2 linked regions of the Alligator mississippiensis genome follow. The protein of the gene in region 2 purifies or fractionates together with the protein of the main gene of each other region. This does not show direct contact. Links are inferred from orthologs where the notes say so. Each region holds a gene or a part of one and is shown on either strand. Other genes may lie near its edges.

Region 1 (15,437 bases), on a different chromosome or scaffold from region 2:
AGACTCCTGGATCGGGGCTCCTCCATCCCAGGACCCTCCTCCCCACCCCTCAGGAGCAGGCCCAGGGACTGGGATCCTGCACCCAGGCCCAGATCCTCCCCTGTCCCCGTCACAGGATGGGGCCACCCAGGATCAGGTACCCCCAGGGCCACCCCTCCAGGATTGTGCCCCTGCCCCACCCCTGTATCTCAGGGACCCTCCAGCCCTCACTCCCAGGACTAGGTCAAGGGGTGCATTGGGGTTCCAGGTCCCAGGACTCCCGGGATTGTGTTGCTGCCCCCAGCCCCCCGTCCCGTCCCATCCCGTCCCGTCCCGTCCCAGCATGGGCCCCCAGGACCACCCCCCGCATCAGGCCCAGGGATCGGGCCCCCGGCGCGCACCCGCGTAGCGCAGCTCCAGCCCCAGGTCACGCACGAGGGCGGCGTCGCGCCGCGCGGTCTCGAGCACGGGGTCGAGCAGCAGCGCCTGGCGGGAGCGCGCGTCGCCCAGCAGGTAGGTGAAGGTGCAGGAGCGCGGCTCGAACAGCTGCGGGGCAGGGGGGAGGCGGGGGTCAGGACCCCTGGGTGCCCCCCTGGCCCGTTCACCGCCGGGATCGGGCCCAGGCGGCCAAGGTCCGATGCAGGCGCGGCCGCCCAGGCTCCACCCCGTCCCGTCCCGTCCCGAACCAGGAAGGCAGCCCGCGCCCCCGCTTTGCACGGGGAGGGAAGGCAGATCCCCCCCCGGGAAGGCCAGGGCCAGGGCCCGAGCCCGCCCCGCACCTGGCGGAAGATGACCCCGCGGCGCTGAGCCTGGCGGGCGCAGTAGGGCCGGGTCCGGATCGGGCCCAGTGCGGCCAGGCTCGGGCCCAGGCGGCTGCCACTCGCCCACATGGTGCCGGGGCTGCTGCGAGCCCTAGGTGCGCGGCCCCTTTAACGGTCCGGCTAGGGGGCGGGGCGTGGGGCTGGGCACCCAGCCTTAAAGGCACAGGGCACCTTAGGGGGCGGGGGTGGGACCCGTCTCGGGTCTCTGCCCCGGGGGTCTGGGGTCCCACTCCAGGGTTCCCGCTGGGTCCGGGGGAGGGGGCAGATGCTTGGGAGCAAGGGCTGGACAGGCAGGGGGTGGAGGGGACAGGGAACCCACCCAGGCATCTAGTCTATTCCTCGCCCAAGCTGGGCTGGGACCCCAGGGGTCTGGGACACCCCCCAATCATTGAGAGGATGTGGTAGGAAACGGTTCCTTTAAATAGGCAAACAACCTACACTCCACGCTCCTGATTGGCTCCCAGGAAAATAGGTGGGCTGGGCTGCCTTAACCCTGGTGCCAGCCTGGGGGTGGTGGGCAGTGCTGACCACCTGGGCACCTGGCTGCTCGCCCCCTGCCCCAAGCCAGGCACAGGCTGCTGCAGGAGCAGGAAGAGGTGGACACAGAGATAGCCCCGCCCTCCCAGCCAGGATTGCTAAACCGTAGAGGGAGCATTGCCTGTCCCACCCAGGAACCCAGGCTCCCGGGCGCAGCTCAGAGCTGGTCAAGGGCACCCACATCCTGCAGGGACCCCAGGCAAGGTGGGCCCTGGCTGTAACTGGGAGAGCAAACGCAGGTGTCCAGGCACAGGGCAGGCTGTGGACTTGGACGCCTGGGCTCAGCAACGTTTGTCCTGTGCCAGCCACCATAGAGAGCTGCTGTCGGCCCACAGTCTGGGTCATTTGCATAAGGGGGGCTCACCCCCCCCCAAAACATGGACTTGGTCCCATCCGTGCCAAGCTGCACCCATGGGGGGGCGGGTTGCCTCCCCACTCCCCTTGAAGTCCTAGCTCTGCTCCTGTCTGGGGGAAGACAACCCAGGTGTCCTGGTGCCCCTCACTCCTGACCCACAGCCCCATCACCACACTGCTACCCGGCTTGCTACAACTGAATTTAATTTAGAAAAACCAGAAACTGCCCCCAAAGTGGAGGGTGAGGCGATCCCCCCGCAAATCCATCCAGCCTTGGATCCTGAGGGCAGAGGGCACAGAGGGGGACCCAGGCATTGGGGACCCATGAGAAGCACCCCCCACTAAATCCCTTAGGCACAAACCCACCACAGGCCAGCCTGTTTTAGCAAACCCAGACTTCGGGGGGAACAGCCAGACAACCTGGGAGTACGGGGCTGCGCCACCTCAGACATCCAGGACACAGACTGATGCATAGAACCCAGGCATCCAGGGGCAGCTGGCAGACCCTGGGGTCTGGGTACAAGGCAAGCCAGAGAAGGGGGGCAAACCCCCTCCTTGGGGATCAGGTGGCCCTGCCCCCAGCAGGACGGGTCATGGTCGACCTTAGCTCCACCCCATCCCTAGGCGCAGGGCCCCACGGTGAATGGCTGGTGTGGGACCAGGCGGCGGCGCCGGCCGCAGGCGAAGATCCAGCGTGGGCGCACAAAGGCCAGGCCGGCATGGGCGTGCAGCGCCTGGGGGTACACACACACACACATACACGTTAGGAGCCCAGAAGTCCAGGATAGCCCCTTCCCCCTCCTGGAGCAGAAGGGAACCCAGGTGTCCAGCGCCCACTCACCTCCTCAAAGGCCTGGTCCCAATCCTGTGCGGTGACAACATAGTTGACACGGTCGTTCATGTAGTCCTCCAGCTCCCTGGGGTGGGGGGAAGGGGTGGGGAGCCTGAGTCCAACCCCCTCCAAGGGAACCCAGCTGTCTGGGCTTCCCCCGGCCCCAGCCATAGGGAACCCAGGTGTCTGGGCCGCTCACCCATTGAAGGCCGTGATGTAGCGCGTCAGCAGGCGGCGCTCATGGGCCGGGAACTCGCCGTAGAGGAAGAAGCCCTTGCCCACGAAAAGGTCTGAGGGGGGGCAATGTGGGGGACAATAACCTCAGTGGGAGAACAGTAAACTCAGTTGGAGGGTAATCATTTCGGTGTGGGGGACAAATTAGGCCAGGGTAGGGGGCTGAATTGCCGCAGTCTGGCCAAGATATGCCCCCTTAACCCAGGGCAGCTGACCCACCCCACAAAACAAAGAAGTGGGGTCAAACTAATCTGGATTAAACCCCCCTAATGCAAAATATCTGGTATCTCCCTTAATTTGGATTAGCCCCCCACTGAAATTATTGCCCCTCCCACTGAGATTACTGCCCCCTAGGGGTAAGATCACCCCAAACCCCACCCCTCAGCCTACCAGGCAGCTCCGGGATTGGCTGGTCACTGGGGCTCTGCCCCTCGTCCTCCGTGTTCTCGTCAGTGGAGCCACCATAGGGGTCATCATTGGGGTTGGCGCCAGGATCCCGACCCCCCTGCTGCTTCTTGCGGTGCTCCTCCTCCACCCTGGGGCAGTTAGAAATGGGGACAGAGAACCCAGGTATCCCCCCTCTCCCCATGAAGAGAGAACCCAGGTGTCCCGGATCACTGCCCTGGACTCCTGCCCCCACCTGCGCAGCTCATCATCTGTGTCCCCTGATTCGTCCTCGCTGCCGTCACTCAAACCTGGGGGGGGGGGGTGCAGAAACAAGAGGGAAAAAGCTGAACCCCAGGCACTGCAAAGGCTCATGGGGGGGAAGAGGTCGGGGGACAGGATGCCTGGGTTCTTTCCAGCTCTGGGAGGGGAGAGGGATCTACGGGATGAGAACCGGCAGTGGGAAGAGGAGCAGATGCTGACATCCTGTACCTACCTAGGCGGCCATCGCGCTCAGGGCAGGTCTGAGAGGTGCTGGGCTCTGCTTTGTCCCCAGGGGCGTCTGGCCGCTGTAGCCGGGGGTCCTCAGCTCCCTGTGGGGCAGAGGGGAGCTGGAGGGGACCCAGGTGTCCAGGGCCCCCTGTCCCCCTCCCCGAGGAGCTGCAGAAAACCCAGGCATCTGGGCCTACCTGGCCAGGGGAGGCCTCATTCTCACTCCCTTCCTCACTGCTGGATGATGCAGCCCCGTCCATCAGGTACCTGGGGGGGGGAAGGATTGCCCACAATGTCTCTGCAGCCCCTATTAACCCCCTCCCTATTTAACCCCTTCCACAGCAGGCCCCACCCTGTTAGCCCCACTCCTTTCACCTCTTGACGGGGAGGCGGCGCCGGGTGCGGTGGCAGTCCAGCACCCACTCCTTGCGCAGGATGATGCCCCCCAGGCGCTTCACTTGGCTGTACTTGGGAGTGTTGGCAAAGGCACAGCTGAGGGGGCAAAAAAAGGGGGGGGGGGGCGGCTCAGACACCTGGGTTCCTCCCCCATCTAAGGGAAGGGCAAGGGGCCCAGGTGCCTGAGTTCTCCCGTGGGGGGAAGCCCGGGTGCCTGGTTCTCCCTTGTGCAGCAGGGAGGGGAGCCCAGACGCCTGGGTTCTCTGGGCAGTGCAAGAGCTGTGGGGTGAGCACAGGGGGATTGGGCACCCCGGTTCATGGCCCCCTGCCAAGGACCTACATGAGGTGGGTGCTGTCGGGGGTCCAATCAGGCCGGTACCGGGCACCCATGGCCAGCGCTTGGTCCCGCAGCTCGGCGCGGAAGGGGTTCTGGAACCCGCTTAGCACCAGCACCACATCCTGCAGCAGCCGCTCAAAGGCCTCTGGTCCCACTCCCTGCCCCAGCCCTGTCCCCTCCTTCTGTGGTTTCCGGGGCGATGGTGTGGGGGGGGCCACAGCACCCAGGGAGACAGCTGGAGATGCACAGAGAGGAAGGGGTTAACAAGGGCTCACAACAAGGGCAAAGCCCCCACCAGCCAGAAAGAACCCAGGCATCTAGGTCCCACCCCAGGCTCACCCCTGGGTTTCTTGGGGGCCTTGGGCTCTGGTTTCCGGGCGGCACTGGGAGCCGCTTTCTCCTTGCCCAGCTCAAACCTCCTCTTGGCAGGGGCTGGATCCTGTGGGAGGAGCAAGGGGGGCTGGGTGTAACAGCGCTGGGGGCAACTGGCTCTGGGGAGGGCCAGGCTGGGTGCAACTGCCCTGGAGACAGCTGGCTCTGGGATAGCACAAATCAGCTTCAAGTGAGAGAAGCTTCCCGGGCTAGGACTGGCCTGGATCCCTCCATACCTTGGGTGAGGCCTTGGTGCTGGGTTTCTCGGGAGAGGCAGCAGCAGCAGCACTGGCCTGGAGTGTGGCTGCAGCATAGCTGGGTCCAGGGGCTTCGGCTTGGGGGGCTGTGGAGAGAGAACCCAGGTGCTTGGAACCCTCTTCTCTCACCCCACAGCCCCTGCACCCTTCCCAGAGCTGGAGAGAACCCAGGCATCTGGGGTCCCAGAACCCCTCCCCTGGTACCTACCGCTGTCAGGGGGTGGGGCCTTGCTGGCACGGCTGAAGAACAAGGCCCCTGGCCTAAGGGACCCGGAGATGCCATCCTCGTCCTTCACCTTGAACTGGCCAAATTTGGTCAGCTTCTGCAAGGGGTGTGGGTTGGGAGTGAGGGACGCTGGCAGGGCAGAGAGCTGCAAGTCAGGAGTGAGGGGCACCAGCAGGGCTAGGGTGGGGCCAAGAGGCTGTCACTCACCGGGGAGGCCACTTTCGATTGGCTGTCCTTGTCCGGTGGCGAGTGGAACCTCACAAAGGACAGGCCGTATGCCAGGGTCTGGGGTTGCGAGGGATGGGGGCAGAGGGAGAAAACAAGCCATCAGGAAAGAAGCCAGGCGTCTGGGTTCCCAGCCCCACCCTGCTTCCTCCAGGAAGGATGGGACCCAGGCGTCCTGACAGAGGAGCAGGTGGGGGCTGCGGGTCGGTAGTGAGGGGCACTGGCAGGGCTGGGTCAGGGCAGGGGGCTGCGGGTTAGGAGTGAGAGGCACCGGCCGGGTTGGGGGATGGAGCCAGCCAGTTGGAGCAGGGCCCACCTTGCTGTAGGGCTGGCTGCAAATGATCTTGACCCGGTCCCAGCGCCGCTCGGCCGCTGCCCGCACCAGCTTGTCAGGCCCAAAGAGCCGCACACGGTGCAGGTTGGACCCGCTGCGGCTCTCGCTCGGGGACATGAAGGACGAGGTCACCAGGAGCACCTGGGGGGGGGGTGTAGTCAGCCACAAGCCCCTCCCATCCAGCACCTAAGTGTGTGTGCTGGGGGGGGGGGGGGGGGAGCAGCTCTCCCTTTATGCTATTGAAAAAGGTGGGGAAATGAGGCTCATGGGGAGGAAACAAGATCTGAACCCCTTCTTCCAGTCCAGTTCCTATAGGGTGAAAAGGCTTGTGATGGGGGGGGGGGTGACCAAGACAGGCTCCCCCCCACATTAGAAAACAAGGTGAACTGCAATCCCAGCGAGGACTACAACTCCCAGCCAGCCGCCGTTCCTTAGGTGCCCAGTGCCTGCCCAATTCCCTTTTCTCATGTGGGGAGCTGGAGGGGGGCTCACCTCATAGTCCTGCTCGCTGGGGGAGGCCGAGCTGCCAACTAGCACCTCCACGAAGGCCGAGCCCTCATTCCCGATGTCAATGCCATGGATCTGCTCCTCCTTCTCAAACTGCCCGGTGGTGGGGCGAAGGGGAGACGGTTTGGTTACCGGGATGGAGGGGATGGCTGTCGCTGCCTGCACTGTTCCCCCCCTGGAGAACCCAGGTGTCCAAGCTCCCAGCACTCCCCGCTTCACCCCCCCGGCGTCCCCTCCCAGAGCCAGAGGGAACCCAGGGCTGGGGGGTCCTCACTTGCAGAATGACCGAGATCTGCTTCTCTCCGGGCTGTGCCGCTTTCCACTTGCGGTAGGTGTCGGGTCGGAGCAGGTTCTCAGCGCAGTGGGTCTGGGGCGTAAGTGGGGGGTAAGTATGATGGGCACGACCCCAAGTCCCACCCCCGCCCCCCACATGTTACAACTCAAAATAAATTCTCCCACTCTATGTGCTTCAAGCATGACCTCCCCCCATGACTCCCACAATGGTCCCTCCCACTCCCTTCAAAATCCCACCAGCATGGTTTCTCCACATTCCCTTAGAATGGCCCCTCCCAAGCTCCCCCTTCCTCCAAAAAGTATCTCCCCTCACCAGGGTTTCTTCCAGCACCCCCCACTTCAAATGATCCGCTCCAAAAACACCTAAAATAGTCCCTGCCACCCCCCAGTGGTCTTCTCCAGATCCCACTGCCCTAGAATGGTTTCATCCATGGCCACTACACGCCCCCTCCCCTGACACGGCTGCCTCCAATCCCCCTCAATGATCTCTCACCCCTCTTAGCATCCCCCCAGCTCCCATGCCATAATGGTCTCTACCACTGCCCCCCCCCCCCGAAGGTCCCTCCCGGAATGGTCTCTTCCAATTATCCCCGTCCCCCAGCAATCCCCAACAGCCCTCTAGAATGGTCCCTTCCAGTTCCCCGCAAATGATCTCTCCCAAGTCACACCCCCCTGCAGCACCCCTGAATGGTCCCTTCCAGATTCCCTCCCCCACCAAGAATGGCCTCACCCAGTACCCCCTGGAATGGTCTCACCCACACTCCCTCAGCATGCAAAAATGGTCCCTCCCACCCCCACGCTCCCCTAGAATGGCCTCTCCCCCCCGGACTTCCCCTCTCCCCCGCACCGGGTCGGCGCTGCTGGCGGACACCACGTGCCGCACCGCGATCTCCGGCATCGTCCCGTCCCGTCCCGTCCCGTCCCGTCGGCGCCTCCGCCTCCCGCCCCGGAACCAAAACTCCGGCCCAGCCCGGAAGCGAAGCCCGCTACGGGGCCTCTTTTGGGAACTCTATGGTTGCCCGGGTCCTTCGTCGCGCTCTGCGCAGACGCGGCGACCGATTCCGGGCCCGTGCGCATGAACCAAGCTCCGCCAGTTCCTCCAGCGGTCCGTCCGCATGCGCAAGGCCTTTCCCGCGGGCGCCACTTGTCCCGCCTCGACACTGCGCATGCCTCTTAGCAGGTGCAGCTACTGCGCATGCGCACGCGCACTGCTGGGTGACGTCTTTAGGGTATGAAGTGATGTCACTGCTCCCCCGCCCCCTCCCTAAAGGCCGCGCTCGTCCCTCCGCCTGCCTGTGATGCCATCTCGACGCCCCGCTACGTCAGAGTAGACCTGACAGCGGCCCCATGGCGTTACGTCATCACACGTGCCTGACGTCATGAGCGGGGCCGGGGGACCGTGACGTCATCGTGCAGCCGGCGCTGCGGTCCTAGCTTGAGTGTACAGATGTTCACAAGCAACCAATGACTCCCCCGCCACAACTGGAGGGGACCCAGGAGTCCTGGCTCCCAGCCCCCGCTGCTCTCACCTCTAGGCCTCACTCCCCCACCCCCCGAGTACCCAGGCATCCGGGCTCCTAACTCCCCTAGACCTCACCCCCTCCCCGAGTACCCAGGTGTCGGCTCTCCTAACTCCCCTCGACCCCACCACCCCCATGACCCCAGGTGTCCGGGCTCCTAACTCCCCTCCAGCCCACTTCCCCCCACAGTACCGAGGTGGAGGCGCTCCTAACTCCCCTCGACCCCACTCCCCCGCGAGAACCTAGGCGTCCGCACTCCTAACTCCCCTCGACCCCACTCCCCTCCCCTCGACCCCACTCCTCCCCCCGAGAACCCAGACGTCCACGCTCCTAACTCCCCTTGACCCCACTCCCCCCCCCGAGAACCCAGGTGCTTGGGCTCTTATCTTCTCTCGACTCCACTCCCCCTGAGTACCCAGGTGTCCGCACTCCTAACTCCCCTCGACCCCACTCCCCCCCCCGAGAACCCAGGCGTCCGTGCTCCTAACTTCCCTTGACCTCACTCCCCTCCCGAGTACCCAGGCGGCAGCGCTCCTAACTCCCCTCCACCCCACTTTCCCCCAGAGAACCCAGGCGTCTGCACTCCTAACTCTCCTCGACCTCACTCCCTTCCCTGAAAAACCACGTATCCACGCTCCTAACTGCTCTCGACTCCACTCCCCACCCGAGTACCCAGGCGTCTGCACTCCTAACTCCCCTCGACCTCACTCCCCGAGAACTCAGGCATCCACGCTCCTAACTCCCCTCGACTCCACTCCCCCCGAGAACCCAGGCGTCCGTGCTCCTAACCCCCCTTGACCTCACTCTCCCCCAAGAACCCAGGCGTCCACGCTCCTAACTCCCCTCGACTCCACTCCCCCCGAGAACCCAAGTGTCCACACTCCTAACTCCCCTCGACCTCACTCCCCTCCATAACCCAGGCATCTGCACTCCTAACTCCCCTTGACCTCACTCCCCCAAGTACCCAAGTATCTGTGCTCCTAACTCCCCTTGACCTCATTCCACCCCCCCCCCCCGCCCCCAGAACCCAGGTGTCTGGGCTCCGAACCCATTAGCCCCTGCACGCCTCCTCCTGCCCCCTCCCCAGCTTCACCTCTGGGTGCACCAGCGGGTCCCCTGGCTCTGACCCCTCCGCTCTGTCCCCCCTCCGGAGAGAACCCAAGTGTCTGGGCTCCCAGCCCAAAACCCCCCTGCGCAACCTAGGGGATTGGGGCCCCCCAGGGTACTGGCCCTGCCGTGGAGGCGGGGAGCAGGGACCCTGGAAGCCTGGGTTCCCCCCACCTCCGGAGCCTGCAGAGGAGATCGGGGGAGCTAGGATCCCGGAGCAAGGCTTCCTTCCAGCTCTTGGGTGGAGTGGGAGGAGAGCAGGGGCGGCTGGGAGCTCCGTGCCTGTGTTCCTTCCAGCTCGGAAGCCTAACAGGTGGGAGCAGGGGGAGCTGGGATCCCGGACGCCTGGGTTCCTTCCAGCTCTTGCACGGCAGTGGAGCTGGGATCCCAGTAGCCTGGGTTCCCCCCACCTCTGGGGCGGGGTGTGCGTCAGGCCGGCAGCCAGGACACCTGGGTTCTCTCCTGAATAGCTGCACACATGGCCAAGCCTGGCAGGTGCGTGGGCCCCCAGCCAGCCCGCACCTCCCCGCTCGCCCCGGACCGGGCAGAGAACCCAGGCGTCCCGGCTGCCAACCTCTGCACCTGGCTGGGCTCCAGCGGGGGTGGGGGGTCACCAGCTCCTGCCCTGCACCCGGATGCTTCCCGGATCCACCCCCCTGCTCCAGGGGCTATAAGTGCCTCTGGGCAGCTTGGGGCCCCCAGTGCCATCATGCTGTCCCCCCTGGCACTCGGGCTGCTTGCTGCCCTGCTGGGTGCAGGTGAGACCTCCACCCACTGCCTGGGAGGGAACCCAGGTGCCCGGGTTCCCGGGGACCCCTGCCCCAAAGCACCCTGCTCCCCTTCTGGAGAACACCGGTGTCTGGGCACTCTCAAAGCCCTGACTCCCCCCCCACCGCCCCCCTGAGAGCTGGAGAGGGCCCAGGCATCCGGGCAGCCAGACCCCCGCTCTCGCCCCCAAGCCTCCACTCTCCTCTTGAAGAATCCAGGCGTCCGGGCCCCCCCTTCTCTCTCACCCCTAGTCCCTAGTCCCCTCCCAGAGAACCCAGGAGTCTGGGCTCCCGGGCCCCCACTTTCACCCCTTGCTGCCCCCTCAGGCTCCCCCCTGAGCTGCCATCGCTGCAACGGCACTGGCCTCACATGCACGGGGCCCCTGGTGCCTTGTGCTCCCCTCCAGGATGCCTGCTTCACCCTGACCTCGGAGACCCACATTGGGGGTGAGTTGGGCCAGGATTGGGGCTCCCCAGGCTGGGATTGGCGGGTGGGGGCTGTCTGGACCCCCCCAAGCCAGGATCGGGGTGCTTTGTGCACTGTACAGACCCCCCAGGCAGAGATCAGGGTGGTCCGGGGGTTCCAGGGGGATCTGGGTGATGTCGATACCGCTTCCCCCCAGGATCCGGCCACACCAGGCACTGTATATATTTTCATGCCGGTTTTAACTCCGTGATGCCTGGGTGGGGGGGTTTGGGGACAGGGCAATGCCGAGTCCCTCCTGTCTGTGCCCACCCAGGGACGCCGGGGAAGGTGGACACCTTCAAGGGCTGCACAGCGAGGACACTCTGCCCCCCGCGCTCGTCCACGCTCAGTGCCGGTGCCGGCGTGCGCCTGCGGGGGGGCTCCGTGTGCTGCTCCCATGATGGCTGCAACCGGGGCGCCGTGAAATGTATGGACCCCCCGTTCTCTGGAGCCAGCGGGGAACTCAGGCATCTGGGATCCAGCCCCTGAATCCCCCCAGACCCCAGGTGTTCGGGCTCCCAGACCCCCCCTGCTCACCCCCCAGCCCCACTCCCATCCAGGAGCTGACGGGAGACCCAAGTGTCTGGGATCCCAGCACCCCCTGCTTTCAGCCCCCCATGCAGAGCTGAGGAGGACCCAGGTGTCTGGGGTACTCGTTGCCACCCCACACTCTCACCCCACAACCCACATGCCCCTCCCAGAACCCAGGCATCTGGGCTCCCAGCACTGATTCCCCCCCCCGCCCCCGCGACCCCACTTAACTCCCAGAGCTGGAGAGAAGCCAGGCGACCCCTACCCTGAGCCCTCCTGACCCCGCCTGTCCGTCCGTTCCAGTGCCGCTGGCCCCCGGGGTCCTGACCGGGCGCTGGTGCCCAGGCTGTGCTGTTGAAGGCCCTGCCTGCAAGCCCAAGGAGAGGGTCCCATGCCGGGACCACGAGGACCAGTGCCTCTACGTAGCTGGTGCCATCCACGTCGGTGAGAAGCCAGGAGTCCAGGCTCCCAGCTCCCCCCACCCCCACAGCGATCCTCCCCAGGCCTCACTCCCCTCCCAGAGAACCCAGGTGTCCATCCCCCAACCCCCACCTCCTGTCTTGGGGGATGGGGGGGAGATCCCCTCTTTTGGGGGGATTTGGGGGCATTAACCCTTTGCTTGCCAATATGCTGCTGGGGGGGGCAGGGGAGAAAGTATAAGGGGTCTTCCAGGGCCCCAATCCTGGGACTGGGGTCCCCTTGGCCCCCCCCAACCCCTCCTGTGTCTCCCTTCCAGGCAGCTACAACTACAGCTATGCCTTGGGGGGCTGCGCCACCCGTAGTGCCTGCGTCAGCGCTGTCGGTGTCTATGAGGTCAGCGGGGTCTTCACTGAGGTCATCAGCAAGGCAGAGTGCAGCCCTGCCCCCTCCCTCCACCTCAGCTCCACCCCCGCCCCCACCCCTACCCCTACCTCCACCCCCACCCCCACCCCCACCCCTACGGCCCCTGGGGAGCAGTAACTGTGGGGAAGCTTCCTGTGGCAACCAGCACTTTTCCCCTGGCAACCAGCATCCATCCCCCTGGCAACCAGCATCTACTCCCCTAACAACCAGCTGCACCCCCTTGCAACCAGCATCCACCACCCTGGCAACCAGCACCTACTCCCCTAACAACCAGCTTCATCCCCCTGGCAACCAGTATCCATCTTCCTGGCAACCAGCATTGTCCCCCTGGCAACCAGCATTGTCCCCCTGGCAACCATGGATCCACGGTTGTGCCCTGTGCCTTGGAACCAATTGGCTGAATAAAGCCCTGCCCCCAGCATGCAGGGCGGGTCATGGAAACAGGCTTGTATGGGTCTCTCATTCCCCTGGTGATGCTGTGGGAGGGGGTGGGGAACTGGCTGGTGTTGCGGAGGGGGCAGGGGTTAAGGGTAGGTTCAAGGGGTCTCCCACGAGGGGCAGCGGGGGTCTCCCCACCAGGCATTGGCCAACATCAGTCCCATCACAATAGGATATGACATGCCCCCCTCCCCCTACACACACCTAGCTGGGAGCTAAGGGTCCTGCCCCAGCCAGGCCAGGAAGGTGCAGGTTCAATTCCCCCACCTCCTCTGCAGTTACACAGATAGGCAAAGACCCCACCCCCCAGCCCAGGCCTGATGGGAGCAGGGGGACCTGGGTGCTGCCAGAACCCTGGGGTAGGAAGAAGGGTGCCCATGGAGGCCAGGTATGGGTTGATCCAGTTGATGTAGTACCACATGTACTCGAATACAAGATGACCCTGAATATAAGATGACCCTAAAATAAAAAATCAAAACAATCCTAAAAACAAGATGGCCCCCAAATACAAGACGATGACCCCCAAATATAAGATGTCACCAAAAACACGATGATTCTGAACATAAGACAACCCTGAAAACAAGACGACCCCCGTATGCGAGATGACCCTCAATACAAGATGACCCCTGAATACAAGACAACCTCCGAATACAAGATGACCCTGAAAACAAGATGCCCCTGAACACTTCATTACTCTGAATACAAGACGACCCCCAAATATAGGTCGACCCCAAATACAAGACGACCCTGAATATAAGATGATCCTGGAAACAAGACAATTCCAATACAAGACAACCCTGAATACAAGACGATCCTGGATATAAGATGACCTATAATACAAGAAGATCCCAGAATACAAGATGACCCCCAAATGCAAGCTGGCCTCAAATACAAGATGACCCTCCAGTAGTTAGCTCCTATACACAGACCATTGATACATGTTTGAATTTCCCTGGGGATCGGATGTACTTGTTGGAGGTTTGCCTTGACTTTGTCCCCCCTCCCGCTCCTAACCTGTGTCCAGTTGTGGGCCCCCCCACTACAGAAAGGATTGGAGAGAGTCCAGAGGAGGGCAACAAAGGTGGTTGTGGGGCTGAGGAACAGGACGGATGAGGAGAAGCTGAGGGAACTGGGCTGATTTAGCCGGGAGAAGATGGAGGTAGGATTTGAGAGCAGCCTTCAACTTCCTGCAGGGTGGCTGTTAAGAGGATGGAGCTGGACTGTTCTCAGTGAGGACAGACAACAGAACAAGGAGCAATGGGCGCAAGCTGCAGAAGGGGAAGTTGAGGTTAGATATTAGGAAGAATTTTCTCATGAGGAGGGTAGCAAAGCACTGAAACAGGCTACCCAGAGATGTGGTGGCATCTCCGTCCTTGGAGGTGGCGAACACCCAGCTACACAAAGCCTTGGCTGGGATGATGCAGTTTGACTCTGCCATGTGACACAGGAGATGGGGCAAGATGGACCTAGGGTCTGACACAGGGCATGGCAGCTCTGATGGTCTCATGTTTGGATAGGGCTGGTGCTGCCTCATGGAGGGGTTGGCCTAGATGTGACCTTTGGAGGTCTCTTCTAGCCCAATGTCTCTATGACCATATGATTATGGATGTATATAGGATGGTTTGGATAGGACTGGTCTTGACTCAGGTAGGGGGTTGGCCTAGTTGACCTCTAGAGGTCCCCATCTAGCCCAATGTCTCTATGACTGTATGATTATGGAGATGTATGGGATGGCTTGGATGGGGATGATCCAGCCTCTGGCAGGGGGTCGGCCAAGGTGTGACCTCTGGAGGTCCCTTCTAGCCCAACATCTCTAATTCTATGATTATGGACTTATATAGGATAGTTTGGACAGAGACGGTCTTGCCTCATGTAGGGGGTTGGCCTACTTGACCTCTGGAGGTCCCCTCTAGCCCAACGTCTCTGACTGACTCTTTGATTATGGGTTTGTATAGAACAGTTTGTCACATCTAGGGGGTGGCCTAGATGTGACCTCTCAAGGTCCCTTCCAGCCCAACATCTCTGTGATGCAATGACTTTGTTGGCCAGCCTATGACTCACCTTCTGGCCTCCACCAATGATGCCCAACCTATTTCCAAACTTGCAGCTCCACAGGGCGCCCTGTAGGCTGGGAACTGGTCTGGGTTGCTGGGGGCAGAGGTGTCACTGGGCCCAGCTGGATACAGGGCCCTGTCATATATAGCCCTGCTGGGCAGAGCCATGAGTGGGCATGGCCACCATCTTAAAGGGCCAGGCACCCAAGAAACAAGTCGAGGAGGAGGCGCCAAATACCGAGGAGGACGTCCCTATCACGGCATGGGCGCGAGTGATGGGGAAGGGACCCTCCCACTGCCGGCGGCAGGGACGCAACGCAATGGAAGTTCCCACGGGAAGCTCGGCGCCAGGGATTAGCTCTGGCGCCGGCCTCCGCCCCCCTCCCTTCTACCTCATGGCTCCCGGCCTATAAATCCCCACCGGCTCCGTACAGTTCCCAACACTGGCAGCCATGGGCGCCCTCCTCACTCTAGGCCTCCTGGCTGCTCTCCTGGCTTCAGGTGAGCTTCCCCCCTGCCATGGCTCCAGGCCAGGAGCTGGTAATTAGATCTGGGAGCTTGTTAATTAATTTTCTGGGAGAACCCTACAGGTGTCCGAGGCTTCTTATTGGCCGGAGGGGGGAGCACGGCAGAGGCAATGAAGCCTCATCACGAAGGGGCTTTTCAAGGGGGTAGAAAGGAACAGCTGGGGATGGTTAGAGCCTGGACGCCTAGGTTCTTTGGCAGGGTCTGGGATAGGGCTTGAAGCCCAGATGCCTGGCTTCTCTGGGATGGGGCTAGGGTCCTGTGGGATGCAGGATACCTGGGTCCCTGGGGGCTTTTCTGGCCAGCGTTTGGGAGTCCAAGCAGGGGGCGCTAGACCGAGTTGTCCCACCCCAAGAACGTGGCTTGGAGCACGTGGCTCGTGGTCCTCCACTATGGTCACCTCTGTCTGCCGCCGCTTGCACAGGTCCGCCCCTGGAAGGGTTAATGCCCCGGGGCTGCCACAGATGGCTGTCACCTCCAGGGCTGGAATTCAGCCGAGATAGGCAGGGTGGGGGTGGGCAGCATGAAGGAGGGCGGGGGGACACAACGCCAGATCCCCCAGGGCCCAGATATGATGATGGGCAGGGAAACCGGGAGGACGAGTG
Region 2 (14,635 bases):
AAAGTTTTACCACTGGCTTCAGAAAAGCCAAGATTTCCTCTGAAAAAGGAAAAAAAAAGGACAAGCACCTTAAAGCAATGTGGAGTTTGTTCCTTTAGCAGATAATATGGTCTATCCCACCAAACTTCACAAACAAGTATTTAAAAAAAATCAGACTGCAAGACAAGAATTGAAAGGAGACACATGGGTGGCTAAAAATTGGGATGTTAGAGGCTGTTTGCCCCTGATGTGCAGTATTTCTCTACCTGGGGCTCCACATGTCATGCCCGAGACTAAGCATGAACAAGAGACCTGCCATGAAAAACCAAGGCCTTGAGAAAAAACTACTCATGACCAAAGACTAAAGCTTATCACCAGTTTGAGAGGGCTTTTCTTGAGATGCTTCAGTATCTGCCAAAGGCTCTTATTCTAGGTGTACTGCCTTTTCTCTTCTAGACAGCATACTCACTCCTATACATCTATTCAGCTTCTTTACATAGCCAAGATCACCCCAGACAGGCTATGTTTACTTTGCTGATAAGCAAAGAGGCCTGCCTGATGCTACAAGAAGCATCTCACTGATCCCAAAACCTTACGATGTGTGATGCCACTCCTGCCAGTGACAAAACATCAGTCCTTGCTCCAAGCAGCAATGCTGTTTCATAACATCTGTGCACCTCAGGTTTGTTGGGTTTTTTTTAAAGGAGGATTTGGCTAGGGTTTTTTCCTCTTTATTCTGACTAGGTAACTTCCAAACACTCCAACGTCCCCCAAACAGAAGCCTTCATGGTATTACTGTGACACCTGAAGACTTAATTCTGGTTAGCATTTGTGTCACAGTACCCACCAAACTAAAAGTAAGAACAGAAACAATCAGTAGAATGGTCTGGAAAGATCAGAGCCAGGAAGCTAACAAAAAGGGAGAAGATACTAGCAGTTGTCCATGCCCACAGAGATAGACAGGCAGTACAGAGAGGAAGCGGAAGTGGTAGCAACCTTTTACTGTGTTAATTTTGTCCCATGGGGGAATATTTATCAACTGAAGACTTCAGTACTATGACAATGATTTTTAAAAATGTACTGGGATCTGCAGAGATGTTGCTCATCCCATTACAAGCAGTATAAGAGAGCTGGATTGTGAGCCTGTTAACTGCATCTCTTTAAAGCAAAGTGCATGTAGTTACAGGGTCCTTCAAGACTGCAGACCCCAAGGAGTCAGTTAGAAGATTAGGTACAGACCAAACCAAAGACAATGAACCCGAACTCCTGAGCAAGAAGTAGGCTTTTAGCCCCCAACTCTTCATCCAACTTCCTGGCTCCCCCCACTAACACTGACCTAGAACACTGGGTCTGTATACCCCACATCTTCAAGAGATGCCTTACTTTTTCACAAAAATGCATGCAGAAGGCACAGAAGCAGCCAGGTGAAGTTTCCATACTCCAAATGGACTATGAAAAAAAAGGGTTAAACCCTCCCTGGCAGTACGATGGTCAGAGCAATTCAAAGAGCCAGTACATGCTTAGCGGATCTGGGCAACTCAACACTAGTCTCTCCGTTAAATGTCCCTAATTATACAGCCTCTCCCTCTAAAGAAGTTATTCCAGATAACCCAGATTTGTTAGGCAATGCAAAGCATGTAGTGTAGATATAGAAAATTCTTACCTCATTAAAAATGGTACTAAACAGAACTGCCCGAAAGCCTGGAGAAGAAGACAGAGGAGATTAAACAGGCAAAACAATATACGACTACCATACCTCCTTTCTCCAACTCTGGGAATACTGGCCAAGCTCACGCCTACTCCAATTTCATAATCTCCCACAGCAAAAAACAGTAGAGACACTGTTTTATTTTAGCTTTGATTCTACTACAACATTAAATTTAAAAAGAGAGACAAGAATCTCATTTATACAACATCAAGAAGCAAGTCAGTGCTTAGCACTATCAAATCTGAACCCGTTTACTAAGTCGTGAGAATTTCTCATGCGTTTCTTTAGGCTCTCCACTAAAAATACTTCAGTGCTAACACCCTCACATTGCCCCATCACTCAGAAGCATGCAGTCCCAGATAACAAGGTTAAGTTATCCATAAGACATCTATAGATTCCACCCCAAAAAATAAAATCTGCAGCTTTGAGCAGAACATGCAAATTCTGGACGAAAAAAAAAAATGTTAGCATATTCCATATGCAAGCAGTTTCCCCTCAATGCCACTGACACTTTTACCCTATTAAACCAGTGAAACTGGCCTCCTTCTCAATCCAATCAGCTCAGTAGGGCCATGTCCAGACACGCAGGCACGTGCAGTTTGTGGCTCCACAAACCAAACATTTGGAATATTAAAATGGGACCAGTGCTGCAAATTTGCAGGGTGGGGGCAAAAATTGCTACCAGGATTTCTAGGTAGCAAAAAAAAAAAAAAAAAAAAAAAAAAAAAGGTACCAGGAAAAAAAAAAAAAAGTGCAGAGGATAGGAAAATACTGTGCCAGAACAGAGGCTTGATCCTCCAGCGAGGCACTCTGACAGCTGGCCAGAGCATCTCTACTACCCCATTTGCGACCCTGCTGCTCCAGCATGCCAGGAGACAGGAAGGGCTGGATTCCGGCAGTTTGCCCAAAGCAGGACAATATATCCCATAACAAAGCACACATAGGCCACGTCCAGACAAGCACAGACATGTGGAGCCGCACATGCAGGTGTTCCTCATATTCTTACTTTGCAGTGTGAGGGAGAACGGGGGGGGTTGACACTGGGAGATTCCCAGGCAAGAAAACCCCCAAAACGGGGTGGGTACATGTGGCAGCAACGCATGCCACCCAAAACCAGAGCCTGGCTGGCTGGAGCTATGCTCCAGCTGCCACCCAGGCTTTCTGCCAAGGTGACAGCCCCAGGAAGCCTCCAGGAAAGGCTACTGGGGCTAGCACAACTGTTGGCCCCAGCCTCCCCTGCCCCACCTAGGATAACTTACCACGCGCCAGAGCGCGTATGGCATGGGTATTCCCTGGGGACAAGGTTACTTGTCCCCAGAGAAACAAGTGTTCCCCCTTGTCTGGACATGCCTATACAGGGTGTGTGCAGAGACAAAAAGTAGTGGCACAAATCTGTGCCGCTACTATTTGTACCACTGCAAATACACACCCCTACACATCTCAATGTGGCTTACATGTTAGAATTTTCTCTGATCCAGACTAGGAACCAAGGCACTCAAAATTGTCTTTACGCTGTTGCTAATGTGTCAGTGCTAAAGGTTATAGATATCAGTTGTTTTCTATATTGAAAATGAAAGACTGCTTAAAAGCACAGGAAGACATTGTGGGGTGGGGAGGAAGGTGAGGGGGAAAAAAAAAAAAAAGAACCATTATTATTTGCTACAATTTCCTATACACTTCTCTAATACCTGCATTTAGCAGGTAGAAATAAACAGCTAGAGCAGATTATTAGGTTTACACTTATAACAGCTTCTGAGATCTCAACACATTTTACCAACATGAATATGGATAGAGAGAGATCACCATGAGGTTTGGAAATATTTTCACTCCCCTGCATTTTAAAAAACGGGAAACTGAGGTACAAAAAAGGAACATGACACAAGAGTGGCAAAGCTAGAGGAAATGAGGAATCCTAGCTCCCACATCACCTGCTTTAGCCACAGTACTATACATCATGAGGCTTCCCCACAGCACCACTAACAAAACCTGTAGCTGATTAACTTCTGCAGTTGTTAAACTCAGGGTCAATGCACAAAATTAAGTTGTGAATGAAGACAGTTCCCAAACTACCTGTTCTTTACATGTGGCAACATGGGCAAAATATCATTATCTTGCTAAGACAAGACATTCTGCAAGAAATTTGTTTTGAAATAAACATCATGGGACATTTCCATCGAGTCCCATACCAAAATCACCTCATACTGTGGCTCAAATAACTCATGTTTGTCAGCACTCCACTGTGTGAGAATTCCATGGCTGTGCCAACTTCAGAGGGAGAAACAACTAGAAGAGCAGGAATAAATCAATGTTCCAGAACAGCTTAACTGGTGAAGCAAGCGTTTAATCTTTGGACAGAGATCCTTAGGTTTCTTGGTTGGGAACACAGTCAAAACCAGCTTAACTGTCAGGATTCTTTTCTGCCCATTATACTTGGCTTCACTTCTAGACTTTCCCTGCAGATGTCAGAACATGTGGGAAACAAGCATTTCTTTTTACCGGGCCCTAGAGAATGCGTGGATCAACAGCTTTTCGTTACAACATCCCACTAGAACTGATCAGACACTGAATTTTTTATTGCCATGTCCCCTGAACAAGTAAAGGGGTAGCTTTGGCTTTATTCCAAAAAACAAAACAAACAAAAACCCAACTCTTTCACCTGCCAGCCTTGCTTAACTGAGCTGTTTAACATTCTTCTGCAAGCTAGGAGGAGAGAGTTGGTTGCATCTGTCCTGCTTTCAGAGGCAACAGCCTGCTTTGTCAGATGCTGTCTAATAAGGAGCCATTCAGCCTGCCTTTTGCAAAAGGCTGCTGTTTGCTGCCTTGTTTACATGCCAACATCTGTACCATTAAAGCTAGACCAGGTGAGAAGATTGTTCCCCAGGCAGCAGATTAGTTAGGCTGTTCTTGTTTTTGGAGCCTTCAGCAGCCGCACACACAAAGCCAACATATGGATTACATTCATTCGGGGATACAGGTTTTAGCCATGTTGATCTACAGTCAAAACCAGTCAGAACTCTTTGTTGAGGCAATATCTTTCATTAGGTCAACTAGGCTAAATTTTGCTTTTTTGTAAAGCCATCTACTTGGTCTAATAAAAGATATTACCTCTACCAAGAGTTCCGACTGCTTTTGCCTGTAAAATCAACACGGCTAAAACCTGTATCCCTAAAACAATGAAGATATCATAATCAGCCGTTTTTAAATGAAAAAAAATGAAGTTAACAAAAAAGCAGCAAAATTCAACACCTGAGACCTGGAGGCTACCACCCCCATGGGCTCCAGCCTTTTGTTCAAGCCAAATTTGCATACCTGCAAAACAGACTTTACACAACAGATATAAAAAAATAAAATAGGAGATGCAAGACTTTATATAATCTTGAGAGGTTTTTTTCTCCCCCCCTATAACCATATTATTTCAATAAAAGTTAGAGAGGTAGAGGGAGATTAAAAACCTTGCCTGCAGTGCTGGAAGCCCAAACACAGTATCTTTGTACAAGAAGCACTTGGTGTTCTATAAACAAACAGCAGATCACAAGAAAATGCAACTATTTAGATAAAGTCACATGCAGAAAGAAATCCTGGCGAATCCTTGAGGCATAATCAGGGGATTTCAATGGTATTCACAGTGCTAACAGACTGCCTGCAGCCAACACAAACATAGTTTGGTCTGTAGCATATACTCCACATTACAATGCATAAATAAGTAAGTAAAAAAAAAAAAAAAAAAGCAATAATGATTACAGTGAACCTTGACTACAAGAAATTGTATGTTTCACTCCCTACTGGAGTGCATTACCTACCCTGGCTAGGCCACTGCAAAGGACCAGCTTATGAGGTCAGGTCTGCAGCTAGGCTGGGACAAGCCAGCCACATAGGGGCCACGTAGGCACAACCGTGGTAAACATAGCAGATTGGTAGTGGTCATAGGGGTAATCACATTATTGGGAACTTGGAGACAGCTTGCTAACAAGAAGCTGCACCTGGACAGCGTCCCTCCTCCTACCGCTAGCCCTTGGTCTCAGAGAGATGTTACTGTGCCGGGGGGGGGACTGTCAAGACCCCCTGATTTCTTACAAGCAACAATCCCCGACCGACAAGCCTCTGGAGTGGTGTTCTACCCTTTCCCTTCACGGGGTACAGGTGTCCTTTTAACCCACATCAAACGCTCTGCTTGAGCAGCCTGAGCAAAGATGCAGAAGCTGTCTTACCCACTTAGCGTCAGGGGCATTTTGATGTGGATGGGTTAAGCAGTGCCTGCCATCCTGGCCCTTGCCCTTTACACAGGGTTTGTTTTTTCTTGCTCTGACCAGCTTTGCCCAGGGCCAGGGCTAAGCCCTGCACACAGGAGTAGGCTGGACCCCCCCCACACACCTACCCCAGCAAGCTCAGGACAGCATGGGCCCTGCCTGGGGGGCACCAGGCGGGCAGCACAGACAGGGCAGAGTGGTACTCACCGTGTTAGCCAGGTGGACAAGCAGCCGCAGGGGCTGGCCAGAGAGCCGGGGGCCCCACTGCAGGGAGGAGAGGAGAGGAGAAAAGTCACAAGGGCTTGCAGCTGGAAAGGCACCAAGCCGGGGAGACCCCACAGGTGCCCCTCCCCCAGCCCACCCTCTAGGGCTCCTCTACTTACTGCGTCCCGCGGGGGCTGGAACCCAGCGGCCCCGACCCGCTCCCGGCACTGGAAGACGGCGCTGGGGGCGGCGGTGAAGCAGCGCACGAAGCCCAGGTAGAGGAGGAGCAGGAGCAGCAGCGCCGCCGGCAGCAGCAGCGCGAGCGCCATGGTCCCAGCGGGCAGGGCAAGGGCGCAGGGGCGGTGAGAGACCCGGGCTGCGACGGCGCGGCAGCGGCGGGGCCGGGATTTGTGGCGGGGAAGCACGTGGGACTGCTGCGGCCCGGGGGAGGCGGGCAGGGCAGGGCACATCCCGGGCCGCTGCAGATGCAGCACTGGCTGCTCTCGCCAGGCCACGGCCAGGCGCCCCCCGCCCCTGCCCGGGTGATTGCCGGCCGCGCGGCTTCCTGGCTACGGGGGTCTGCCCCGCTGGGCCTCACGTGCCCCAACCTTACACGGGGGCGAGGGGGTGTAGGAGGGTGTGGGAGAATAGGTAGGGGGAGGGGTGTGGGTATAGAAGGTGCAAAGGGGTGCGGGTATAGGGGGCATAGAGGGTGGGTGTAGGGTATAGTGGGGTATGGGTGTAGGGAGTGTGTGTGGAGGGGGCGGTATAGGGGGGTGCGGGTGTAGGGACTGTGGTGCTTCTTCTCTGGTGACACTTGCCCCTTGGGGTCGTTTGCTGCTGCCGGCTTCCCCCGTGTGGGCCCCGCTCCGCGGAGGCCAGGAGCGCAAGCTTGGTACCCGCTGGAGGCGCGCGAAGCGAGCGGCTGGCATTGACTTGCACCCCGGATTGGAACGCCAGCTCGTACTGTCACAGCGACTGCCCAATCAGCCACCGCCAGCCCCCAGCCAGCCAATGGCAGTTGACGCGCGACTGGCCTATGGGGGGAGCGTTCCAAGCCATCAGCCAATCCGCGCCTCGCTGCGAAGCCAACTCGATACAATGTTGCAATGCGGCTTCCGGCGCCTGAGCTGCTGGGTGGTGCTGTTGCCCCGGGGGTGGGTAGGGGGCTGCCGGGCCGAGGCAGCGGGAGGCGGCCGGCGGGATGTCTCGCTTCTTCCAGGCTTTTTGCAGTAAGCCCCAAGGGCGGGCAGGCGGCGCGCCCTTGAAGGAGGAGGACTTGTACCACTGGGGCCTGGCAGGTCAGTGCGGCCGGCGGGGCCGCCCCGAAGGAGGGGTTGCCTGTTTGCGGGCTTAACTTGGCTGGATCCGTCAGGGACTTGCCGGCCAGGCCCGGTGGCTTTAGGGTTGGACAGTATCAACCTCCTTGCCTCAGGGTGCTGCGTGGAATCCTCCCCCTTTGACAGTCCTGCCTTGAGCAGGGGCTGGACTAGGTGACCTCTTGAGGTCCCTTCCAGCCCTGCTCTCTTACATAACCATAATGCACCTTGTGGGCCAGGTTCTTCTGTCAGGTAGTGGGTGGAGCTCCAAAGTAAAACCTTCATTCCTTCAGTGGAGCTTCATTGGCCGCATGACATGTCCTGTAACCTCCCTGCAGTTGCTTAGCCTGCGTGGAACAGGGAGCAGAGGTTGTTTTTGTGGAGGTCCTCTGGAGCTGAGCTGCTGTAAGTGGGTCTGTTTAAAGGGAGACCTCTGAAATGAAACAGGTCTCCAAAATCAACTTATCTGCTGACCGGCCTTGTAAGCTTGATGTGGAGAAGGATGGGCTTCCCTAACCTGGGAGAAGGAAGAGGGTTTTGGTTATTTTAATGAAAGGAGAAAAAAATACACACACACACACGCTGTGACTGCTGCAAGGAGCTAGGGTAGAGCTGTGATCCACTGCGTGCACACCCCTGCCCAGAGCATACAGGCTGCAGATTGTGACTCTGCCCCAGCTCCGGACTACGCTGCCATGGCTGCAAGATCCCATCCCGAATGCAAAGCATCTCCATGTCTTGCCACGTGCCCTGCCAGCACTGCTGGGGCGGATCTCCATGAAAACCCCTGCCCCATGCTATCACAGTGTGGCTGCTAAGGTCCCCATGGAAACCAGACCTAGGCTTGTGGGCAGGGGCTGCTGGGAAATGAAGTCCAGCTACCGGCCAGGTCCACCATTTTGCCCATCCTTGATATCCATAGAGTGCCAATTGCTTCTGCTGCTTGACTTTACTGCAGCCAGCTGTGGAGGAGATTGGTGCAGGGGGGTTCTGCAGCCCTGCTCCTCTGGCTGCTGACAAGCAAAACTACGTGATATGGGTGCTTGTGCAACTGCCACCCCTGCAGTTTTCACCCCCCTGTGGTGTAACACATACACATGACATGAGTTTTGCTTTCAAGAATTTGGGGTGCAGTTGCCCCCAAACCCCTGCACCAATCTTCTTGAAACTTGGCAGGCTTTGTGGCCTCAGCAGGGGCTACCGCCCCTGCAAGTTTCAGACAAAAAGCAACAAAGTTATAGATATTTCATTGATTCCCCATTATACCCTATGGCCAGATCTCTGAGGCGGCTCATAAGCTTCGGACGGATCAAAATGGGAACCCGGTCCGGAGCTCCGGAATGGATCCCTGACATCCAAAGCGGCTGGATCCGAAGCCCGATCGAATAGCTGTCCGCTCACACAGGCCTAGTGACCACTAGCTAAGTCGGGTTGCTCTGCTTTGCGCTACGGTGATGATATAACCCTGCATGATTTTTGCTCTATATTTCATAGGGAGCATTTCGCAGAATTTGGAATAATGGCCACGTCCTACCACCCAGTCCTGTGCCTTAACCACAATAACATCCTTTATCCTCAAAGTAGATGGACAGTTTGTAATAAAATCACCTCCAGTTTTTAACAGAAGGCTTTTACTCCATCCCCTTCTGTGAGAGAGAAATTCTGAACTTTGCAGCATGCTGAGGAGGGATAAAGCTATGTTCTGACAGCATGAGGGCACATGGCCCTCCAAGGAAGGGGTTTATCAAGGAAGATGACACCCAAGCAATTTCCTTTTGTTTGATTTCTAGGAGGTTATGGAACTGGTACCTTTACTCACCTCACCCACAGCAGTCCAGCTTGCCAGGGAGGCAAGTTCCAAATCATTAAGGGCTTTCAAAGTTAAAATTGGCACTTTTTGTTCAGCCTGGAAGCTTATTGACAAACAATGCAGATTGCGAAGCACCTGTAAAATATTTTTTTGGCATGAAAGCTGACTTGGTAGGTAGGCCTAATCTGCCCTGTGTTTCTACATCTGCAGGATTACAGGATGCAGTGCCAAGTAGGTTGTGTGACAGTTTTGTGTAGCTTTACCAAATCACTTTTGTGTTTTAGGTATTCAGCTACGTTCCTACCAAGTGGATGGGGTGAACTGGCTAGTACGATGTTATGAAGATCAACATGGCTGCATCCTGGGCGATGAGATGGGTCTTGGAAAGACTTGTCAGGTGCCTCTTTTTATTTCTCCATGGACAATCAATTTTGCCTATATTTTGTCTTCCCAATGTTCCTGCAAGAGGTAGGAGAGGAATTCCTTAAAGTTTATTTAGATTAGGACCAAATATTGATGTCCTTGAGAAGAAAAAGGCCTAAATCTTGATTCCTTCTGCTCTTGCTCAGTTAAAACACTTTTGTTTTTTAAAATAAAAGGCAAAATTATATTCTTAGGGGGAAGACTGCTTTGAAGCTCCTGCTTAGCTGACAACACAACTAGCTATTAGTATCATAAGATGTTGCTTTCGTGACTCTCTGGGTAGATCATTTTACAAAGTTCAGTTCTCAGAGCAGAGATGGTTAGATTTGTATAGCTGTTTCATAGCCTTTTTTTTCCTTGTCAAAATAAGCATTCCACTTCTGTTAAGAATTTGGCAAAGCGAGCTTGGTGTGTTTCTTCAACTGACAGTATTCCCTGAATTTTAAGTGCTATGCAAATTACTCACTTAAAATTAGCATATAGTACATTGCATTCTTTCAACGTTACAAGGGAAAAACATTTCTGAGTAGGGGACAGAGTGCTCCCAGATTAGTGATAGAATTGGACTGCAGCTGCAGTGCATTTGATTAATTCTTTTCCATAGTTTGCAGTGCTTATGGTCAGGGTTTTGCCATAGTGAGCCTGTCAGGAACCAGCAGCAAAGATGGTGTTGGAGGGAAGGTTTGTATTTAGATTGTGGGGTTTGTTTTGGAACTGCTTATTATTGACAACAATTCTTTTCTTTGTGTTCCAGACCATTTCTCTGCTTGTGTATTTGTCTGGAAACTTTATAAACAAAGGGCCATTTCTTATTCTTTGTCCTCTTTCTGTACTGAGCAACTGGAAGGAGGAACTAAAGAGGTGAGCCTTAGGATTATGATGCAGACATTTGCTCTCATATCAGTGAGTTGCAATGATCACTTAGCATATGCTTACACGGCTTATGGTTTTTTAAAATTAAAGGCAAGACACTGAAACATCAAGTTTGTGGCACAGAAAGGCACAGTTCACAGCTAATGCATGGTTTTCTGTGCAACCTTGTGTATTGGGATGTCCCCTGTGGTAGGGTGCATAGTACTGGGTGACTCCTGGCACAGCTGCCCCCTACTTCTCCTGGCTTTCATTGTTAATTGTTGTAACCTCAATGCTCAACATCCCACTGGAGGCAAAGGTTAAGGTCCAAATTAAGCCTGCCCACACACAAGTGTATTTACTGTGTGCACACGGATCGGGTAAGGAGAACACCATTACATCTGTGTGTGTAAGGCAGACCTGTGTGCACTAGATCAGTTGATGGTGTGGCTATTATTCATGTGTTTTAAAACTGCGTGAGTGTTAGAAGAAAAAGACTGCTTTTGAATTGTGGGAATTTGCTGTCTCTCAGGAGGATGTGATAACTGATCAGGCCATGAAGTGAACTGATGTAAATCAACAAGAATTTATTTATTGTGAGGCATGGCTCAGGGAATATACATTGCCATCTATTGTGAGAAGGATATTCAGATATTTATGGTGGGGTGAGGAAGTAAGAGAGAACTCCATTGCGATGACTTCGCTCTCTTTCACAGTACTCCTTCCCTCTCCATCCTATAAAGATTATGAAGGCAGTTCTGTCTTGTGCAGAGGCAGAAAAAACTGGGAAGGATATCCAGCATCTTTTTTCAGTGAAGGATTTTGTTGGTCCTCCTGGAATGTTATGCTGGGGAAAGAATTTCTGTTGATGTTCGTGGGAGCCTTGCCTGGGTGAAGAGCTCTGGACTGGGTTCTATGACTATGACTTCAGTGGGAGCTGTGGGTAGTTAGCATCTCAGGATTGTTCCCTGCAATGAGTGTTCTGGATAGATGTAGATTCCTGCTTGTGCCCAGGGGATCCCTACTACCTTGTAAAAAGAGCTCTTGCTGGAGAAGGAGGTTCGTGTTGGGTGTGGTGTTGGCTGGATTTCAAGGTTCAGACTGGAAGCCATATCCAGAATGAAGTTCAGATTTGGCAGCACTGTTATCTTGCTGCCTTCTTGTGAAATCTTCCACTCAAAGTAGTGGACATCCCATGACAATAGCTGCTGTTCTGCCATGTCCCATCTTGGATGGTAAGGCCTATGAGAATGCTGCCAATTTCATGAGCTTCTGGACTCCTCCACGCGACAGCCAGAAAAACAGGATATAACCTGAGCCCAAACCCATCAGGGCAGGATTGAAAACAGGGACTTGGATCCAACACCATGATTTGGATAAGGGGTTTCCATCTGGGTCCTCTTTTGGTTTTTATGCTAGGTTTGATTGACAGGGTTTGAAGTTGACCACAAGCTTTTGGGGCCTGGAAGGCTCAGCCCAGCATATTCCTTTGTTTTGTTTTGTTTAATGGGAACAGGTTTGCTCCAGGTCTCTCCTTTGTGACATACGTGGGAGACAAGGAGGAAAGAGCAGAGCTGCAGAGGGACCTGAAAGCACCTCTCAACTTCCAGGTCCTGCTGACAACATATGAGGTACCACTCCCCAGCATGAACAGCCTGCTTTCGGGACCCATCTCTGTTTCCAGCCAGGGAAATACTTTCTTTGTCTCCATTATGAATAGTTTGTTCTGGGCATCATTTCACATTGGCAGTTTGGTCTGTTTTTAAAAAGTAAACACATCCACTTGAGTCCAGTAGTGGTGAAAGGTCTCTCAGCTCCCTCTGTTCAGTTTCTCAGTCCTTTTCTCCTTGTTTCTGCCCTCCTTTTCCTTGTTCTGGGGTGTCTTTTGTTTTCTTCACACCTCAGACTCGTTTGTCGTACCGTGCCCCATCCCAACCCCTTCACCTGCTTTTCTCTCCCCCACCTTGTTCCTCCCCAGTCCTAGTTATGCACGGTGAGTACTTGGTATGAGAAGGCTGAAGGGGCTTTCATACTGGAGTGAGCTCAAGGAAACACAGCTTGTAGAAAGAAATAGATCTGGCTTGCATTTCTCCTTTCCCTTTGCTGTCACAACGAGGACACTGCTTTGGAGAAGGCCTTTGTCCTTACACAGCTCAAAGTCTTCTCCGTTTTGAACCTGCAGGCAAGCAGGCTGCATGTGCATACTTGTGACAACAGCAAAGAATCCTGACACGACACATTCATTGTGATAATTTATTTTGATGGTGGGGGGAGGAGGAGAAGTGGGATGTGGCAGGGATATTGAAAACTTTTGATTCTCAAATACGAGAAGAACCATCATAGGAAAACATAACAAAAGTGAAGAGACTGAGACACATGTTTTTCCCAATGTAAAAATCTCTCTTTAACATTGCTGGTTTTTTAAAATTGTATTTCAGATAAGACTACGGCCTGGGTAACTTGTGGTTATTAGAGAATCTCCATGACATTGCCTATAAAAATAGGGTCGGGTTCAGCTACACTAATTGCTTTCCATCTCCTAAACTCTTTCTACAGTTTCGTTGCCCACCCACTAATTGCCATGCTCCTCTCAAGAGGCAGCTGTTGTTTAAAGGGCTGGTGAAGTGATCCCTGTTTGGTTTATCTACCACTTCTCAACACAGAAAATCCCAAAGAGCTTTGCTAACATAACTGACAGGTCATCTCACTTTGTTTGTTTGCAGATTTGCCTGAAAGATGCAACATTTCTTAAGTGGTGAGCTTACTTTTTAAATTATTCAGATTTGTTCAGTGAGCCTATCAGCCTTTTCCTTGGGTTGCTTTCCTTTCAGACACTGTCTGTTTTACATGAGCTGTGGCTACTCTTCACTGGGCACATCTACACAAGATGCTGAATGCACAGAAGACTAATTCTACTGCACATCAGCACAGCAGGCAAAACCCATGTTAATGCGGAGTAGATTTAGTCTAATGCACATTAACATAACTAAAAAAGTGTTCATCTGCACTAATGTGCAGTAGCGCTGATTACAGCACATTAACTTAATACCTGTTATTACAGGTATAAACTTAATGCACCATAATTATGACATTAATCTGCACAGTAGCTTGTTATTGTGCAGTAGCATTGGCAGACGCTAACCATGATGCACTGCTAGCGTGCAGTAGCATCTGAAAAAAATTGTATGGGGACAGTACTGTGCAGTAACAACTGTGAAGTCTGCTGTTTGTATAGATATGGCCGCTGAGTATCAGGACTTTGTTCCTGATCTATTTCAGTAAAAAAAAAAAAATCTCTTCATTTTCAAGAGCGCTGCTGTGTTCTTCCAGTTTTCCTTGAATGAAACAGATGGTTTTCAAGTAGGGGCATAGAAATGCATTGTGTGCTCATCTTACATAACTGGCATGAAGTCAAGGAGTGTTTCCTTATTCAGGTCATCTCATCCAGGGAATCATCATCAGTAATGCCAGCAGAATAGAGTAAACAGAAGCCCAGAGTATCACTTTCTGGTCCATGTAGCTCCGCCATGTGGGTGGCTTAGGTTATAAGTATGAAATTGAGAAACCTGAACTATCTTCTCCTGTGATGATCACTACAACCTCGTAACCTAAATTGTATTGCATGACGTTGAGCATGTCTCTCGTCGTGATGTGCGGGTCATTGTCAAGGAAGCCGAAGCCTGCCTCGAGACACCATTGCCGAACTGCCAGTTGGTCTCTCTAATGCAGTTTTCGTGTTGTCTTCCATGTCCACTCACTGGTAGGACAGAAGAGAATACCACCTGTGCACCGAACTCCCTCAGCACGCCGCCCAGAGCATGGTAGTCCGTCATCAGGTGATCGGGGCTTCTCGTGGCTGCATCGTTAGTACCCACATGGACTAGGACCATGGGGTAGTAATCGGTGGGCTGAATCATGGCCTGGATCATTCCCGTCACGTCCCGAATCTTTGCTCCGGGCAGGCAGTAGACCTCTTGTGTTGAGGGTTCCTGGCGACAAATGGATCCTTCCGTACCTCTCAGAATGGAGTCGCCTATGACAATCACTCGACTCCTCCTCCTCTGGGTCTGTTTGGTTCCCTTGACCTGTTCGG

What was found.
Region 1: the proteins of CHD1L (region 2) and XRCC1 purify together in Homo sapiens (affinity purification with mass spectrometry; 3 studies listed by BioGRID and IntAct, counting the BioPlex papers as one, with this or other methods). This does not show direct contact. The link is inferred for Alligator mississippiensis from reciprocal best matches to the Homo sapiens genes CHD1L and XRCC1.

The regions. Positions count from the first base shown.
Region 1 is NC_081838.1:29,411,607-29,427,043, forward strand, and holds XRCC1 (DNA repair protein XRCC1), read right to left. Parts: upstream 8,038-15,437; 5' UTR 7,909-8,037; coding exon of another isoform or gene 7,852-7,908; 5' UTR 7,687-7,851; coding exon of another isoform or gene 7,657-7,686; 5' UTR 7,480-7,656; coding exon 7,429-7,479; intron 6,655-7,428; coding exon 6,562-6,654; intron 6,381-6,561; coding exon 6,273-6,380; intron 5,922-6,272; coding exon 5,763-5,921; intron 5,507-5,762; coding exon 5,429-5,506; intron 5,319-5,428; coding exon 5,204-5,318; intron 5,082-5,203; coding exon 4,975-5,081; intron 4,806-4,974; coding exon 4,706-4,805; intron 4,602-4,705; coding exon 4,370-4,601; intron 4,126-4,369; coding exon 4,009-4,125; intron 3,901-4,008; coding exon 3,831-3,900; intron 3,753-3,830; coding exon 3,638-3,752; intron 3,453-3,637; coding exon 3,398-3,452; intron 3,294-3,397; coding exon 3,148-3,293; intron 2,814-3,147; coding exon 2,723-2,813; intron 2,609-2,722; coding exon 2,533-2,608; intron 2,426-2,532; coding exon 2,312-2,425; 3' UTR 1,879-2,311; and 1 more. Other genes in the region: ETHE1 (persulfide dioxygenase ETHE1, mitochondrial), read right to left, coding at 381-525, 1,239-1,688; phospholipase A2 inhibitor and Ly6/PLAUR domain-containing protein-like, read left to right, coding at 7,657-7,686, 7,852-7,908, 9,305-9,521, 10,303-10,422, 10,716-10,868, 11,276-11,416, 11,709-11,932; phospholipase A2 inhibitor and Ly6/PLAUR domain-containing protein, read left to right, coding at 14,760-14,808. UniProt on the Homo sapiens protein: Scaffold protein involved in DNA single-strand break repair by mediating the assembly of DNA break repair protein complexes. Negatively regulates ADP-ribosyltransferase activity of PARP1 during base-excision repair in order to prevent excessive PARP1 activity.
Region 2 is NC_081824.1:251,904,287-251,918,921, forward strand, and holds the start of CHD1L (chromodomain-helicase-DNA-binding protein 1-like), read left to right. Parts: upstream 1-7,272; 5' UTR 7,273-7,342; coding exon 7,343-7,439; intron 7,440-9,551; coding exon 9,552-9,664; intron 9,665-10,444; coding exon 10,445-10,551; intron 10,552-12,058; coding exon 12,059-12,173; intron 12,174-13,265; coding exon 13,266-13,297; intron 13,298-14,635. Other genes in the region: uncharacterized protein LOC102572765, read right to left, coding at 1,643-1,680, 6,142-6,198, 6,318-6,608. UniProt on the Homo sapiens protein: ATP-dependent chromatin remodeler that mediates chromatin-remodeling following DNA damage.